Regions from separate parts of the Mus musculus genome. Here region 2 is reported to be linked to region 1. Evidence: microRNA targets listed by miRTarBase, many of them from high-throughput screens and not tested one by one. Region 1 holds a microRNA gene; the other region holds the end of a gene's coding sequence.
Evidence for each region. The annotated mature microRNA mmu-miR-331-3p reads GCCCCUGGGCCUAUCCUAGAA and lies in region 1 at 1,753-1,773, opposite strand. An mRNA with a match to its seed (bases 2 to 7 or 8) in the 3' UTR can be bound and repressed. Matches are read on the target gene's strand: a 7mer-m8 pairs with bases 2 to 8, a 7mer-A1 pairs with bases 2 to 7 and ends in A, and an 8mer does both.

Region 2: the mRNA of Ms4a6c is a reported target of mmu-miR-331-3p. Seed matches in the 3' UTR shown: 7mer-A1 at 2,237-2,243.

Annotation. Positions count from the first base shown.
Region 1 is chr10:93,962,031-93,965,266 of GRCm38, forward strand. Mir331 (microRNA 331) reads right to left here and starts at 1,833; the gene lies at 1,738-1,833. It overlaps Vezt (vezatin, adherens junctions transmembrane protein), which reads right to left. Exons shown (of 12, transcript NM_172538.5): 12 at 1-3,236.
Region 2 is chr19:11,480,952-11,483,951 of GRCm38, reverse strand. It overlaps Ms4a6c (membrane-spanning 4-domains, subfamily A, member 6C), which reads right to left. Exons shown (of 7, transcript NM_028595.4): 7 at 1,755-2,746. The coding sequence ends at 2,740. BE692007 (a long non-coding RNA gene) reads left to right here and starts at 1,373. Exons shown (of 2, transcript XR_003952860.1): 1 at 1,373-3,000.

The DNA.
Region 1 (3,236 bases):
CGCAATTAAACAAAAAAGCACCCTCCGGCCCAGATTTTATAACCATAAGTCTTCAGTTAGGGTAGGGAATTGAGAGTTCAAAGTTCTAGTATATAAAGATTAGTAACCATCCCAAGGCCCTTTGGAGGTGGAGGGTCTCAGAGCTAGACCTCATAGCCAGTGCTTTACCACTGAGTATACTTTAAAACCTTACTCAAGAGCCAAACCTTGCCAAGAATGGTGGCGCATGTCTGTAATCTCAGCTCTCTAGAGGTGGAGGCAGGAGGATTGTCAGAAGCTCAAGATCAGCAAGTTCCAGGCCGGTCATTGTTAGTTACATAATGCCTCGAAACCAAAAACAAAAACCACCACCACCAACAAAAATACAGAGCCAGGTCTGTGGTACACACTTACAGTAACAGAACCTGGGAGGTAAAAGCAGGAAGGTCAGAAGTTCAAGGCCAACCTTAGCTATACAGCAAGTTCAAAGCCAACCTAGGGTATGAGGTCCTGACTCAAAAAAACAAACCTAATTAAACAGTCCATAATTTCTATTTTTGGTCTCTATTTATGATGTAAATGAGTATAATGCCCCCAAAATACTCACAAAACATATTACACATCAACCTGGTGTGTGCACATGGATTCTAGGCAATGCTGATCTCTTAGGTAAGTGTGTTCATGAGGCACACACTCCAAGGAAGAAAACACTGAGAAGCACAAAACTCAATCTGTGGCATAAAAAAAATTCCCATAAACTTGGGGTAGAAATGGGATGAATATGGTGTAGAATAGTTGAGTTTTTCGGGTGAGCCTCAATAGGCGCCAGGCCCATTTGGAACTGTGACTGGGTGACGTAAATTTTGGTAGTGTGATAAAGATTGGTAGGAATGCATGATTTTGAGTTCCTTATGTATGGAGAGTTTATTAGTCTGCACAAAACATCAAAAGCATAAATTGTCAATGCTTACCATAATTTTTCAGTTTGGGTCTTCATGCATTTTCAGAATTCTTGTCTTCCAAATCAAAACAAATAAACACACAGTTGACTCTAGTAATGCCAGCTAGATTATGAGGTCATAACATATATTTATTAGATCAGGAAGAAAACTGAAGTTCTTAAAATTTTCTTCTGCACAATACTGCTGCAAAATCCACGGGCTTAACCATCTACTACCTCACCATACTCATGGTCCTGAGCCACAGAAACCTTAAAAGGAGCTCTGCTGCGCAGCAGACCCAGTGACAGGGAAAACATACTAATTTCTGAAACAAGAACTTAGAGCCACTCAGCATTAGAGTGGGAAGACGAAGACAGATGCTTGCCGTTCCGAAAGTGCCAATAAAGCATACAGCTGACAGAGACTGGTTAGACATCACTGGAAGTAGTTAAGAAAAGACAATTTGTCCAGTTTGGAAGAAGGCTGTTTTGAGAACGGTTTTGTGGCTACATTGCTGCTTTTTAAAATAGACATTTAAATCAGTTTTATCTGACGATAAAAATCACAAGACCAGTTCTCCTCACTGGGAATTAATAACAACCACATAGAATTTCTACCATAGGAAACTACTGGGGTATCAGCCTCGGGAGACTTTGTTATTACCAAATATTGTTATTTTGACTCCAGACAGATTAACCAGCCAGGGCTTGCTAAACAATAGGTACATATATAAGAACTGAATCTTGGTGAGTACAGGATGTGTAGTCAGCCTCAGTTATCTTCGGTCTTCATCCTCTGGGTGTTCCAGGAATGATGCACGGGTTTAGGTTGGTTCTAGGATAGGCCCAGGGGCCTGGTTTGATCTGGGATCCCTGGGACCATACCTAGAACAAACCCAAACAAAACCAGACTCCTTGGGAGTGCTTTCAGCTTGCATGGGCTTCTGGGCTTCTCACCCATGTGGGCCTCCAGGGCTGGATCAGGGCCACACACCAACCTTTAAGGGATAGGAGTGACATTCTTGGAGCCTTCTATATATTGTCACACACCAGTACTGTGCCTCAGCACTTTTAAGTCACAGACTTGAACAGAAGGTACAGAAAAATGCAGAACATACTTGGACTCAGAATCAGAGTCAATTTAGTCATTTAACTTGGAAGGAAAAGCGGGCTAAGAAGTTGTTTAGGTCATTGTAAAAGAGCAAACTTACAAAGGACATACTTTAGTTTTAGAAGAGATTTGCAACAATAAACTTATTTGTATGTAGTCAGTCTTTAGGACATGTTATAAAACTGTTATAAATCCTAAAATAATACTATCTATTTTAAGAAACTCTTAAGAAATAAGTGAGAAAAAATATCTATTTAGCATTATCTACAGGTAGTCCAATTTTTCAGCTTGTATAATCAGAAGTATACACACCCTAAGCATCATTTCCACTTGAGCAACATATGTGCTAAGTGAATCTCAGTACACAGGGATAAAACTAATGTCACTGCTGACACACTAAAGTGGATTCTAATGGACTGCATTTTAAAGACACCATGGGCATTAGAATCTATCACACAATCATCACTATATATATAAACCTTGGCCAGTCAGGAACTCACTATGTGGACCAGGCTGGCCTTGAAATCAGAGATATGCCTGCCTGTTTCCAGAGTGCAGGGATTAAAGGTATGTGCCACTACACCTAGATTTGATCACACATTTAAAGATAGGTATGAAATTAATTCCTCCTAATTCCTGCTGAATCTTGCCTATGTAAACCCCGGTATGAACTCCTTCTTTTTGGTTTACAGCAATTGCACTGGGTAGAATTGTGCTTCTCTAACAGCTTACTCAGAGAGAAGCACCAATCATGTCTGCCATCACTGTCTCTTCTACAATGGTGTCAATACAAGGAACTGGTTTGGACCATTCTTCTTACAATTATTATATCATAATTCCCTTCCATAACATGGGTAACTGGAGAGCAGCCACATGAAGCATGATTATGAAAGTCTGATACAGCATCCACGCTGAATGTAATGAGAGTGAGTTCCATGAAGCATGAGAATAAAATAGACTGACACACTACTCACTCTGTATATGATGACAGCGAGTCCCATGGTTAGCAAAGCACAGCACATAAACGGTACAACTAAGCAGATGTTAGGAGAGCCACTTCTAGACAGTCTAGTATTATTGGAAAATGTAATCTTGCTTATTTTATACACTGAAGGCTAATTTAGGCATGCCAACTACTGAATGACAGTGGATCTTCTGCCACTGAGTTAACACTGATGAATCATGGGAAACTTTTAATGTATACTT
Region 2 (3,000 bases), not on the chromosome of region 1:
ATACATTTCTATGAAAATTTCAAAAAAGAGAAGCTATTGTTCTTTTGTTTTTAATTGTTTAGAGATATTTTAGAGTCTTTTATAAAGATGATTAGTATTACATTAATTTTAGTACCTAAGTGGAAGTCATATAGTTCTGAAAGGAACTCCCAGATAGTGAGTATATAGTTCATAGCTACATAGATATACAGGCATTCAATAATGTCTAAGCTTTTAAGTACATAAGTCAGAACACAAACATGAACAATATCACATCAGAATGATATTTAATATTACAGAAAAAGCATAGAACAAAACTTGAAGAAATATGTTTACATTTTTATTTACATAAAAAATTAATAGCTGGGCTTAAATATGACAATATTTATAAATGAGAATAGTTGAACCCAACACTAACATGAAATTAGTAAAAGTGCTAAAAAATTACTAGCTAAAAATATATAGACTGTGATGGTCAAAGCCTACTTATACCACAGGAGTGCTCCAATGCCAGAATGAAGTTGGCTAAGAGGAGGCAGAAAAGAGATTGTATATTGCAAGTCTTTTGCCCAGGCTGTGACCGACACTGAAAAAAGACATGCCAACAGAATAGATAGGTGTAAAATGCACTAGAAGTGAATTTTCCATAGCTCTAATCATGTAATGTTTCTGTATCAGGACACTAAATTCATGGAATAAGATTGGAGTGTCCTATCCTTCTTTCTTTTTAACATTCATTTGCAAATGATTGGTATAGTTTTCTTTAAATACTGAAATGAGTTGACTGTTGAAGCACCCTGAGCCTGAGGTTCACTTGCTGGCGAGGTTTTTGACTATTGCTTCCATTCCTTCACTTGTTATATAACCATTCATATTTTAGATTCTTTTATGGTAATTATTCTTGGGTAGCTTTCCCCAATTTATATCTTTCTACTGTTTGTTTTCATTTCTTTTAATTGTATAAACTGGTTCTCTATTTGACTTTAAGTGCTTATAGTCCCTGTAGAGTTGATACGGATGTCTTCTTGTTTCATAAAAGGTTCGGAAATTTTGATGACAACAGTGATGGCTGAGGTAGAATGTGGATGTAGTAATGAAAACATCAACTGAGAGTTCTAGATGGTAGGCCTTCCTTCCCTGAAGGAGGAGTAGTTACATGATCAGTAGTAGGTAAGGACTGGGGACATGTCTCAAGGAAAGACTCTCCTCTTATACAATTGCCTTTAGGCAAAAGGAGGAGGAGGAAGAGGAAGAGGAGGAGGAGGAGGACAAATATATTTTATTTGGGGCTCAAATAGACCTTCATAGCTTATAGAATATGATCCTAAATGTATTGTCATTCCCCACATTCCATATTTTACTATTAATTTCATTTTAAACATATTTTATGTTTTATGGGTATTTTACAAGGATGTATGTCTGTGTGTGTTCTATATGTGTGTCTACTGCTCACCGAGTCCAAAAAAGGATGTCAGATCACCTGGAACTGGAGTTTTAGATGTTTGTGAGCTGCCACGCAGATGCTGGTAATAAAACTCATGTCCTTACAGGACCAAAACCAGTAAGTGCTCTTAACTGATGAGACATCTCTCTAGCCTCTTATAAGAAGTGAAGAAATGCCTCTTATTTGTTTGTGGCAATCCTAGAAATAAATGTTATCTGGTACCTCCAAAATGCATTGCTAAACTTTGAGTGTTTATTCAGATCCAGTTTAATACACACACACACACACACACACACATACACACACACACACTGACAGAGATATATTCCTATTTGTCTTTCCCATGCTTTTATTGGTTGATAGAGAACAAAAGAATATCAAACAAATGTGTTTACATATCACAGGGGACTTGATCTGTGCATAAAAACAAAATAACAACAAAAGCCCTTACATATAGAACATACAATCAAAAAAGACTTTATTTTGAACCAACAGCATGAATACTCTTGAGACTTCATTGCATGCCACTAGTTTCTATGCACTAGTCAATAAAATTGATATGAGAGAAGACCCACGTCATAGCAGAGATTCTGAATACAAAGACTGCTAATGGTTAACTGTTGCTGTTAATTGCAGGGGGCAAGAAAATGTTGTCCCTTTGCTCCACTACAATGGCCTGAAACATTCTGTTTGGTTTTCTTTCTTTCTTTTTTTTTATTACGTATTTTCTTCAATTACATTTCCAATGCTATCCCAAAAGTCCCCCCCCCCCCACTCTCCTACCCACCCACTCCCATTTTTTGGCCCTGGTGTTCCCCTGTACTGGGGCATATAAAGTTTGCCTGACCAATGGGCCTCTCTTTCCAGTGATGGCCGACTAGGTCATCTTTTGATACATATGCAGCTAGAGTCAAGAGCTCTGGGGTACTGGTTAGTTCATAATGTCTGTTTGGTTTTCTAAGAAAGGCCACCATTTGTAGGTCTGGGCTTTGGCTGAAGCCAAGGTCATGAAAATCAGTAGGGTGCCAGTAATACACACATTCAACTTATACTGGTGCCCACTGTATGAACAGTCTACATTTTAAGTAGCAAGCATTGCTACCCTGTGATGGTTGGATTTTCTGCATTATCATGAAGACATATCCTCTGCTGTATAGTTCCCACTTGTTTCGGGTATTTTGTTTTTTTGTTTTTTTTGTTTTGTTTTGTCTTGTTTTGTTTTTCTTAAAAAAAACCAATCGTTCCTCATATGCACAGTTACAAAGTGCCTTTGATTCCACATTGGCTTCATTATTGGAGTTATAAGACAGAAAAAATCACATTCTAGAACAAAGAAAATATGTGGTTTCAGGTTATAAATGAATATTATATGTATATGTTTATACGTACATATGTGTATGTATGGAGGAACATAGATACGTAGATACAAATGATACAACTTCATTCAGTGTTGTAGATGTTCCATGATGAGAATAGCACACCTTATGTGATGCACATATTTGATGTATATCATCTCCTCTTTGTTCTGCACTCTAATTAAGGATCTGGTCAGAGCAAAGCTTTTTTGTTCAGTTAGT